Rhinolophus ferrumequinum: one gene and its partners. The protein of the gene in region 2 interacts with the protein of the main gene of each other region in a pairwise test. Links are inferred from orthologs where the notes say so. Each region holds a gene or a part of one and is shown on either strand. Other genes may lie near its edges.

Region 1 (3,747 bases), on a different chromosome or scaffold from region 2:
TTCTGCACCTGGGCCCGGGCTGAAGACAGAGAGTTCAGAATTATCAGTCTTTAGATAGTATTTGAAGCTGTGGAGGCAGATAAGCTTGTACAGGAAGATGGGGCAGTCCAGGGTGAGCAGAGTAGGGGCCTCGGCAGAATGGTTGCCATAGGTTGTCAATCTCTAGTCTGTAAAACATTGAAGGGTAAAAGGCTAGTTTTTCTTGAATTTTCACTGAATATTTAAAAATAGACCAGCTAGGGGCGGCCAGATGGCTCAGTTGGTTAGAGCACAAGCTCTGAACAAAAGGGTTGCCGGTTCAATTCCCACATGAGTCAGTGAGCTGCGCCCTCCACAACTAGACTGAAGACATCAAGCTGCTACTGAGCTTCTGGAGGGGCGGTCGGTTAGAATGGAAGCTCTGAATAACAAGGTTGCCAGTTCAATTCCCACATGGGATGGTGAGCTGTATCCCCTGTGACTAAAGATTGAAAACGGTGCCTGGACTTAGAGCTGAGCTGCGCCCTCCACAACTAGACTGAAAGACAATGACTTGGAACTGATGGGCCCTGGAGAAACACACTGTTCCCTAATAGTCCCCAATAAAATTTATCAAAAATATAAATAGTCCAATTAAAGCAGTAATGCAATGTTGATTCTATGGTTCATATAGGGAATCTTCCAACTAGCATTTCCAATCCACTTGCCTTACACAGACAAAAAGCTTCAAAATTTTCTGTTAAGTGGCTTCAATGAAAATAGCAAACTCCAGATTTTCAGGGATACAAACAAATGATGCCTTCAGATTGCCAGATGGTGGGACTTCAGTATTCCTGCTGAATTTTTTTGACATTCTTCCAAATTAAATTCAGCATTCAATATTTTTTGTTTGAAATTACATAGGTACCTAAGAAATAAAATGTCTACATTTACAAATGGGCTTTAATTATGAAACTCACAGACCATAACCAGGTGAATCTGCATTCTGAAACTTCGTTACTGTGATGTTGGGCGTGTTACTTATATCTCTCTGAACCTGTCATATATAAAAATGGAGGTAACAGCTTATTAAAATACCTGTGTAGTGTCAGGAAATACTGCTATGCAATATAGTGTATCCAAGCCTTTCACCTTCCTCATTCTGCTTGGATACAGAATTGGGTGTGGTATAATGGGTCCAACGCAGCAAATGAGTCCATACACAAAGAAGAGAGGCTCAGAAAATTCTGGGGTCATGCCTCCTGGCATCTACTATACTCTACGAAACTATAAAACTTGACAGCACCTACTGATCTAGCTATGGCTGCTTCAAGAATCTTTCCTGCTTCTCCCTAATTCTTGGAAAAACCCTAGGAGGATCCCAGGATATGTTAATGAGCTTCTCTTGGTATCTGGGGATGAGAAAACTAGGGAGAAAAATCAGATGAAGTTGGAAAGTCCCAATAACCTGAGATGAGGTCTCAGTTTCAAGAACCTGTTCCTCATAGCTGTCTCTAGTAAAAAGGGCACTTTTCTAAACTGATGCTGCCAAATCTTGACCGCCAACCTGCATGGTCCATAAGGTTAACTGTGCATACAGACCTGTGCAGGTTATGTCACCAACGGTAACTCTGAAGGTGAAAGTGGGCGCGTGTATTTGCACATCGGATCTTTCACATTCATAAACCGGGATGTTCTTAGTCTTCATGCCGTATTCGTGTAATACCTGAATCGGTGTTTTCCCTGGCTTAGCTGTAATCATCTTCCCCAAACTGCAAAAACCAGAAAAAGGTGTGCTGTGCATATCAAAACCGGGAGGGAAGCAGAAGCATAGAGACCAGTTCTGTCTGACCGCCACCAACGGTGACGGGAGAAAGCGCCGAAGCTCCCGGCGGCCAGGACCGGAGCTGGCGAGGCGCACCATCTCCCGGACCCGCAGCGGCCGGCATGAGGCACGCGCTGGCAGGGTTGAGGGAGGTCTTTAAGGAGGTAACTTGAATGCAGGTAGGACGGATTCGTAGACTAATAGAAGTGCTGCAACCTCAAACGACTAAACCCACAAATCCCATTTCCCAAGAGGCCCAGTGTCATCTCCGCCCACGCCGCCCGCCACCCCAGGACGCAAAAGGGGCGGGGCCGGGCCGCAGACCCAGCCCGCGCGCCGCGGGTCTGCCCGCAGCCTCCCAGGCGGGCTTTACCAGAAAGGGGCTTTACCCAGAATGCCGCTCGAGAGCCGCTGCCCCGCCCCCGCCCCTCTTGCCCAGCCACTCTGTCCCTTGCTCGGCTCGGCCCGGAATTCTCCGGCGCTGACCTGAAGGTCCCGCTGTCCTCGTGCTCCAGCGGCAGGGCCGCGGCGCGATCCCTGCTCTGGGACATGGCGAGAAGGGACGGCTCGACGGCGGAAGAACAGTGCGCAGTGACGTTCTCGCTCCCCGGGTCCGCCGGTCCCGGAGAGGGGCACTCCAGCGCCACCGCCGCCGCCTTCTCCCTTCCGATTCTCCCTTTCCAGCTCCCCTTATCCTCCCTGCTTACGTCCCTCTGGCGAAAGGGACGGGCGGGGGCGGAGGCGGAGCCTCCGTGCGGCAGCTCGGGCCGGGGCTCCCGGCTACGCCCCCTCGCTCTCCTGGCTACCTGCCTGTCTCCCTGCCCGGCCCCGCCCACTGGCATCCGGAGGCCTCGGCGCCTGGCCCCGCCCCTTCTCCCCGCCCTGGCTTTCCTCTGCTTCAGCGGGTTCCCATCCTGTGGCCTCCGTGTGTTTCGGCACCCTGTTCTCCGGCCTGGTCGAAGCCGCAATTGTGTCTTTAAAAGGAGGCCGTTTCCTGCCTGGAGAGGAGGCTTGTCGGGCGGGAAGGCTCGCAGATTCTGTGGGGCCCGAAGCCCAGTCATTTTTGGGCCGGAGGAAAGGATGAGGGCTGCGTCACTTTAAGAAAAAGATTTCAAAATTCCAAATGCAAAATTTATAGAGTGCATCCCGGGGCCTGGCCGGGAAGCTTGAGACTCTGGGTATATCAGCTCCTGAGGGCTGCGCTGAGCTTTTCCGGCCCCCGAGACCTGCCCTTAAGAGCTCGCAGGGACGTCGGGCTACACCCCTCCTCTACCTCCCCGTGGGCTCCATTGTCTTCTAGACTTTCATCGCTAAGTGAATGCTGGGCGCGCAGATCCCAGCTAGGCCTGTTACGTGTAAACTACGGCTTTTCAATGGGCCGGATTCCTATTAAATGCTGTTTCTGCACACCTGTGGTATTGGTTGTAATCGGGTTTGCTTAGGATGCGTCACCTTTGGTGGGGGGGGTCCGACAGCGAAATTAGATGTCCAGTGGCTTTTCTAGGGGTTTGCAGCCACTTGCAGAAATGGCTCTGTGTGTCTTCTCGGTGTTCTAGAAGATTGCTTTTCATAATCCTATTCGCACCGAGAGACTACTCAAAACTGTTCTTTGAGGTTGCATGCGAGTATATTTGATTGCAGATTTAAAAAATGTCCAGAATCTAATCAAATTGGTTATATTATTTGAGGCTTGAATTACACCTATTCTTTCTTCCCCAACCCCCTCTTTATAGTATCAGTTACTGTCCACTAATGTTATTTGTTTTGAGTAATTTGTGAGCACCACATAGCCACTATTTCAAAATACAACATCCACATAACTGTGGCAATACAATATTTCAGCCCTCAGATTTGTTTCTAAAATGTATTTTTAGCCACAAAATTCCTTTGAAACAAGCCAAAATCTTATGTAGCTATCTTTAAAGGTTGAGTAACTGGAATGAGAATAATGAAACAAAAAGGAA
Region 2 (3,747 bases):
ATACATCCTTCTAGAACATGACCATTAGCTCTCCACACAGCGATTTCACCTGTACCATCACAACTGCACCAACACCTCCAGAACAGCTATGATCACACCACCTCCCTCTGTGAGGAAACTGAGGCAGCCTGACAGGCCACGTGATAAGCCCAATCTCCTGCCCTGCCTCTCCATCTGGACTGGTCATGTCCTTGGCCGTTACTCAGCATCTGGGACCTTGAGACCCTCATCCCACAAAGGCTCTACAAATGACCTGGCCTTTTAAAGTCTGAGGGCCCCAAGTCTTAATTCTAAGGCCAGCCCCCACTTAGCAAGACCAGCCGTGTCACAGCGGAGGATGTCAGGTACTGGAGAGTGATGCTGAGTGGAGGGGCAGCAGACAGCATCAGTAAAAGGCTGGGAACTTGTGAGGAACTTGGGGCACCTCGGTCTCCTCTTATCAAGATGGTAGCCCCGTGCTGTTGAACTAGGACTGGACTCAGGGCCAGAGGATCTGAGCTGGAGCCTGCATCTGCCATTTAAAAGCTAAATGACCTCAAGATATGCACCCTAACTTGAATCTGTTTATCTATAAAATGGGCCTAATATCTATCTTAGAGCATTGTGCGGAAAGTTAAATAAGATACCAGATGTGAAAGATTCAGCCTTACCCAATGCTAGAATTTCCTGTGACCTATCAATTTGCACGCAATGCTGTTACACCCAGTAACCTCCTAAACCCATGCTTCTTTATATATGACCTCAATTCATCTATCTTCATAAATTCACTCCAGTCTCCTCTGGCTCCCCACCCCATGGGTGCTACTCTACCACCCTGTTCCCTTATAACGTGACCTCAGGATCAGTTCTGGGATCGGGATTTGGAATAATTTTTTAGCCTCCTCCCTCTACATTTTTATATTGTTTATTTTCTACAAAAACTACACTCACTAATCTTAAACCATTCTCTCACACACATACACACACAGACCTAAACACCACCACCACCACCACCACCACCACCACCACCACCACCACCACAACAGCCCATCTGACAGGCCAGGCTGGCAACCTCAGCACAGTCACCAATAGGCACTTGGACCTCAAGCTAGTCACCATCCCGTCTGAACTTCAAGTTCTTCCATCTCTGAAACAAGGGATCAGGCCCACTAGACCAGCCCTGAGCCCCTACCCAGGGTAGAATTCCAAGAAACTCTGGGATTTCTTGGACAGACGAGCACATACTGTCCACCATCCTGTCTAAACCCCGAATGTGCGAGTGATGAGGGTCCAGATGTGCTTTCATGCAGGAGCTCTCCCCTGCTCTTTGCAAAAACCCTAGGAGGTAGGTACACTTGTCTCCACTTAACCAATGAGCAAACTGACACTGGGAGTGGTTAAGCCAAACCTCACCCCTCCCCACACATTGCCTCACCAGCCTTGTTTTAAACAGCATCCCTTCACTGGTGTAATAACCATCTGTGGAAGTCTACCACTTGTCAGGCTCCATGCTAGATGCCAGGGGGCTGGGGGTGCTGTACGCACAAGTCCCAAGCGGACCCTCTCTGCAGGAAAGTGAGCCTTGCAAATACACCCCACCTCGTCCCCCTACCTATTTCCTCAGAGGAAGGAGCTGCAGAAAATCCTGACATTTACTGAGCACCTACTACATGCCAAGCCGTCATAGATGGTTAACACGTTTGTGTTTATGTAATCCTCACAAGAGTCCTCTGAGTTAGGTTCTATACTGTTCCCTTTTGACAGACAAGTGAGGCACGAAGAGATTAAGTCACTTGCAGCAGGTCACGCATCCAGTTAGTGGTAAACCTGGATTCACACGCAGTGATTCGAGCCCTAAGAGCGAGTCCCGTGCTCTCAACCACTACGCCCCAAGGCCTCCTCCGGAGGGCCCGAGCTCCCCAAGACTCAGAGAAGACAAGAGCCTTGTCCCCAACATGCAGCAAGCCTGAACCCCAGGCCAGCGGGAACCAAGCGTCCCGCTTGGCCCACGACAGAGAAGGTTCCCGGCACAAGAACCTTTCCGTTTTAAAACCGGAAATAAGTGGTCATCCTAAATCCAGGGCTCCTTCCACTTCCCCAGAGCAGAGCACCAATAAGCTCTGCAGAGATTTCCTCCCTCCTCTACGTGTGTGAACCAAAGGAGGGGCTCGCAGGGTGGAAACGCAGGCATCGGCCATACTGCCCCCTCCCCTGCCCGTTCTCCAAGCCCGCCCGCCCCCCAGGTCGGACCTCTGAGCCTCTGCTCCTCACCTCTCGGCGGCCGTCCGCCAACAGTTTCAACCGGCCGCGCGGAGCACGTGGAATCGCCGCCGCTGCCTCCGCCGCCGGCCCAGCGCCGCCGCCGCCTCGCTCCCGAGCTTCCCCGCGCAGAATTCGTTTCCGAGCCGCCCCGCACGCCTGCGCGCTGCGGCTGCACCGCCCGGCGGAAGTGACGGCAGCGGAAGCCGGAGGGCGGGTCCGGCCGGCCGAGGGGGCGTTGTCGCGATGGTTCCGCGTCCCCCGGAGCCCGGCGAGCGGCGCGGAGGGCGTCGCGGTAGGTGAAGAGGCGGAGGCCGGCGCGGAGCGGTCTCCCGGGGTAAGGTGGCCGCCGGGTCCGGAGGCCGCCTCGCGAGGGCGTGCGGGTCCCGCGCGGTGGCGCGGCCCCGAGAGCCGGGCGGGGCACGGACTCGCCGTCGCCTCCGCAGCTCCGGGCACCGCGAGGGTCTGGGGGAGCGGTCGGGTCGTGAGGGGGTTAAGCAGCCCCGGCGCCGTGCTCTGGCTCCGGGACACAAAAGATCCGGGCGTGCTCCTGGAGCCGGCCGTGTCCGTGTGCAGCTTCCTCGGCCTGGGAAGCCCACCCGCGTCCCCGCCCGGCCTCCCGCCCGCTCGGGCACTGCCCGCGTGTAGCCCCCGATCCCTCCCCGTCCGGGGCTCCCCGCGCTCGGTTCCCATCTCCCTCTGCCTCCCTGTGGTTGAGAGCAGTGCCCACGACCGCAGACCCGGCCCAGCGGCATTCCCGGGTGGACTCGGCGTGCCTCGGCTCCCGTTTGCACAAGGCGTGCAATGGCAGTGCCTGTTGCGTCGGGGTCTCGCAGGATTTCTCGAGTGGATGAATGTAAAGCACTACATCGCTTCGCCGTTCTTCTCCGGTCTGGCAGACAGGGGTGGTCACTAGGTGTTCACGGCTTCATTGGGTGACTGGAGTATGGACCGAGTACTGTGAGAAACGGTAACCCTGGGGTGGGGGTGGGGCTGATAAGGGCGGTTTCACTCTGGGACCAACAGTGTTGGGCCTGGAATAGAAGGTGTAGCAGTTGGCGAGGGCCGCCATGACGAAATACCGCCGACCGAGTGGCTTCAACAACGTTTATTTTTCTCACAGCTCTGGAAGTGGTGTCGCGGGTTTGGTTTCTCTTGTCAGGGCCACCTTCTTGGGGGTCCTCACGTGGTCTTTCCTCTGCATGAGCATCCCTGGGGCTCCTTTTTTTTTTACAAGACGTCAGTCAGATTGCATTAGAGTTTTAACTTCATTGGATTGGATTTTAAAACCTCTTTCAGGGCCTGATCTCCAAACACAGTTGCATTCTGAGGTACCGAGGGGGTTAGGGATTCCGCATATGAATCTGGGGGGGATGCAACTCAGCCCTTAACAAGGAATTCACCAGAATGGACAAGAAGGGAAGTAGTTGCTGACAAAGGTGACAGAGTGGCCAAGAGGTTGAAAAGCAGGGTGCTCAAGGCATTTTTATGTGCAGGGCATGTAGGGGT
Region 3 (3,747 bases), on a different chromosome or scaffold from region 2:
GTGATAATTAGCACTGTGTGTAGACACTAATAAACATTTATGTCTGAAATTACAACTTTTAGCAATGTTAATACGGGATATATTGGCAATCTGTGAAATAAAAGGTATTGAAAAGAATGTCATACATTAAGGAATGGCTGACATTTCCCGTTCTGGAACAACCCCTTCCCTCCTGCCCCATCCACCCCCCCCAATTGCAAATGGCCACGCTGTTTTGCTGAGAATTTAATTGACATAGGAACCTACCTAAAAAAATGGGTTGTGTCTCTTTGGCCTCCCCATTGACATCGTTGCTGAATTCTGAAATCTTATATACCTCATGGTGATAATCTGGGACGAGAAAACAACCAAAAATTAGAATTCTAATGGCCTGCAAGATATGAATAAGCAATAAAGACTAGAATCTCATTATATATATTATGGATAACCGACACTTTAACTTGTGAATATTCTTTTCCAGGACTCGGTCAGTCATAGAATTTGTAGTCACTGAGAATCCCTAAAACTTTGCTTACTCTGACTAAAGAAGTACACAAACTTGAAATATCACTTTGACTTTAGCTTTGTTTGATCACCCGGTTTTCACAGTAAATTTGGCCCACAGATGCCAATTATTAGGCTTCTTTTCTTTCAAATCACAAAGATGTTTATAAGGAAAAGAAACCTTGCCCAATCATAGGCCAGGGGAGGATTCCAAATTTATCTCCACAACCCATTTTCATGAGCATATAACAGTATGCTTTAGAGTTACGTGGCACTCTCAGTTTACCCAGAAAAGTCCCCACCTTTAAGTAGCTTACAGGCAATCACACTGGAAAAATACTGATTTGTCGTTTCAAATATAGTATAATTTGGATAAGAAAGCAAGATTCTCATCTTTTACACAAGTGACTCTTCTGCATTCAGCTACTGCACTTTAATATGCAGTAGTTTATTTTCTAAAAATGCACCTGCAGTGCAGAGAGAAGAATCAGACCCATAATTTCGTGGGGGAAAAAAACAACAGAAAAACTTGCTATGTTGGTCAAACTTTAAAAATACAGTATTTTATAAGCTTCTCTATAGAGGCTACTGTGCTTTGGCAATCTATTTCTAAAATGTAGGATTGCCTAGGTAAGAAAATAGAGGTTCCTTCTTAACAACTATTACATTTTTTTTTTTGGACTTGGACCTCTCAGGACAAAGTCTACAGAACTACTCTCACTTTTAAGATAAAGTAGTAAGTTCCCTGAGGTCATACATAAAAGAGCAGCTCACATTCCTGAATGAATCAGATAGACCCATAAGCCAGTCACAAATGGAGGAAGAGATATTTAAAGTACAAATGACTGAGTAATCAACAGTGCTTGGGAAAATGAACATAGGTAAAGGAAAGGGGCAAATATTTTGAATACGTAAAACTATTTCAGGTCTCTTTCATTGAAACAGTGTCAAACTAAATCAGGGGAAACAGATATGAGTTGATCTTTAAAATGTCTATAATAAAACCATTTTCAGACTAAGCTAAAGCAGGCTTTATTGAATCTACATCATACCGGTAGTTGTAGTTTAGCTTAGCTTGAAATACTCTATTACTTGGAACTGCTCTCTAATTTTCATCTGCTTACTACATGTGACTTCTCCAGGTTGTTAAAACAATTGCCTTGTTCGCTACTCTGATTCCATAGCTAGACAAAGCAAAAAGTGGACAGGTTCTGTGGTTTGGTTTTGACCTCAAGTTGTTTTAAAGAAGGTATTTCAACAGGATGGTTCTAAACTCAATATTAGGACTTGTGACATTACCACGAAAAAAAGTCACCTGCCTGTCATTTAAGGTGACACAATGCATTTTGATAAACATATCTTTACGTCTGCTCTTAACTTCTGACCGTTTTTTTAAAAATAGTCACATCAGGAAAATAAAGACTAACAAGTAACTGAACACAGACTGTTCAACTGATGACACTATCCAACTTGGTGTACACCTGTTAAATCGTCTGGAACTGGCTGGATCTTTATTTTTTAAATAATACTTTGACTGCTAAGTGATCTATTCTGAAACACCTTTCCAAATAACGTATCTAGAAAAGATGCTGGATGTCAACAATTCTTACGTGGGCTTGTACGCCTCATGAGCTTCTTTCTCATTCTTAAAAGAACCATCACCACCTTTTTTGTTTCTCTTTGGGGAGGGAAAAAAAAACACAAAACAAAAATAAAAACGAAAAACCCAAGACCACAACCATTGGTCGGGATGATGTGTCCACACGGCCTGGTGGAAAGGCAGTTCTCCCCCCAGCCCCCAACCTGGCCACAGGAGTGGAATACCAAAGAGGGCTCTCTGCTCCCCAAGTGTCATTGTTTGCTAATTTCCTTAGTGCCCTGCGACTTGTTTACGCGGAACAACAACCTCCTGCCTTCCCCCGGCACAACTTTGCTCGCCGCCCGGCGTGTGCGGCCATGGCCCGCCTCGGCAGGGGACTCGGGGGTCCCGGAGCCCCGGAGCGGGACGAGCCGCCAGGACGCGGGCCGCGCGCGGGGCTGTTTACGCGGCGCCACGTCCTTCCCCGCCGCCCGGCCCGGCACCGCTTACCTCGGCTCACCAGTTTGAAGCTCTGGGATTTCCTGCTCCTCTTCCTCTCGGAGAACTCCATGGTGCGGGCAGGAGGCGGGAGGCAGGGCTGCGGCCGGGCGGAGGGAGCGGCAGCCGAGGCGGCGGCGGTGGCGGCGGCGTTCGCTCTTGTCAACCGGCCGCGGGAGCGCCGGGACCAAGGTCCGTCTCTGGAATCCGCAGGGGGGAGGCCGAGGGAAGGGAAGAACCACCTCGAACCCGCTCGGGGGCTGCGGCGCGCGGGGCTCGGCAGGAGGTGCTTTCCCGGGAGAAGTTGCCCCCTCCCGGCCGCCGCCTCCGGGTCCCCTCCACACGCCCCCCGACCCCGGCTCCTTCCCGGCTTCTGGGAAAACGCGGCCGGAGCCGAACTTTCCGTTGGGGAGCGAGTTGGGGGCGGGGAGGGCGGGCCGGGGCCGCGGGCGCCCCGGGATGTCGCCGCGGGCCGGCCTGGGCGCAGCTCCGGACGCGGCGGCGGTGGCGAGCGCGGCCCCGGGGACGCGGCGGGCGGGCGGCGGGCGGGCCGGGTCGGGGCGCTGGCCACCCCCGCGGGAGGAGGGGCACCGGGAGGAGGCGGCGCCGCCGGGACCCCAGGGCCACCTGCTGGCGGAGCGCGGCCGCCGCCATCCCTGGGGGCCCCGGCAGCCGCCACCCACCGGCCTGGCCGCGCGCGCCTCGAAGAGGAGCCGGAGGCCGCAGCGCCCTCGGCCGAGCCCGGCCGGCCTTCCCCCAGGCTCCTTAGGCCGGCGCCGCGGGGGTCGAGGAGTCGGGGCGCCGCTCCCCACCGGCCTCTGGCCGCCGCTTCCTGGGGCGGATCTTGTCATAAATCGTCCTGGGTATCGGGGACCCTCCTGGCCAGCCCCTCCTTGACTTGAGATCCAGGATGTCCAAGGGCCAGACTCACTGGTTTTAGGCAAGTTTTAGGAAACACAAATACCCAAAACTTACCCATCTGCGCTCTGCAAGGAAACGAAGAGATTTTAGAATTTACTGGTGAGAAGTGTATTGAAAGTGAGCTTCAATTTGTTACCCCAATACAAGGAGGGATGTAGGAAGATCCGGAGTGATATTTAAGGAGAGAACTTGGAATGTGGGACTCCGAGGGGGTGAAAGGATGAGGGGTGCGATGTCAGTGGGTGTTTGATCCCTCCGCTGCCTCT

Evidence for each region.
Region 1: the proteins of LYAR (region 2) and PRKRA interact in binary tests that used the Homo sapiens proteins (3 or more experiments, as listed by UniProt). The two-hybrid records come from large-scale screens. The link is inferred for Rhinolophus ferrumequinum from reciprocal best matches to the Homo sapiens genes LYAR and PRKRA.
Region 3: the proteins of LYAR (region 2) and BEND7 interact in binary tests that used the Homo sapiens proteins (3 or more experiments, as listed by UniProt). The two-hybrid records come from large-scale screens. The link is inferred for Rhinolophus ferrumequinum from reciprocal best matches to the Homo sapiens genes LYAR and BEND7.

Annotation. Positions count from the first base shown.
Region 1 is NC_046291.1:47,480,495-47,484,241, reverse strand, and holds the start of PRKRA (interferon-inducible double-stranded RNA-dependent protein kinase activator A), read right to left. Parts: upstream 2,601-3,747; 5' UTR 2,335-2,600; coding exon 2,270-2,334; intron 1,963-2,269; exon of another isoform or gene 1,954-1,962; intron 1,731-1,953; coding exon 1,561-1,730; intron 1-1,560. UniProt on the Homo sapiens protein: Activates EIF2AK2/PKR in the absence of double-stranded RNA (dsRNA), leading to phosphorylation of EIF2S1/EFI2-alpha and inhibition of translation and induction of apoptosis.
Region 2 is NC_046288.1:82,856,281-82,860,027, forward strand, and holds the start of LYAR (cell growth-regulating nucleolar protein), read right to left. Parts: upstream 2,415-3,747; 5' UTR 2,251-2,414; intron 1-2,250. UniProt on the Homo sapiens protein: Plays a role in the maintenance of the appropriate processing of 47S/45S pre-rRNA to 32S/30S pre-rRNAs and their subsequent processing to produce 18S and 28S rRNAs. Also acts at the level of transcription regulation.
Region 3 is NW_022680355.1:355,622-359,368, forward strand, and holds the start of BEND7 (BEN domain-containing protein 7), read right to left. Parts: upstream 2,771-3,747; 5' UTR 2,634-2,770; coding exon 2,573-2,633; intron 331-2,572; coding exon 247-330; intron 1-246.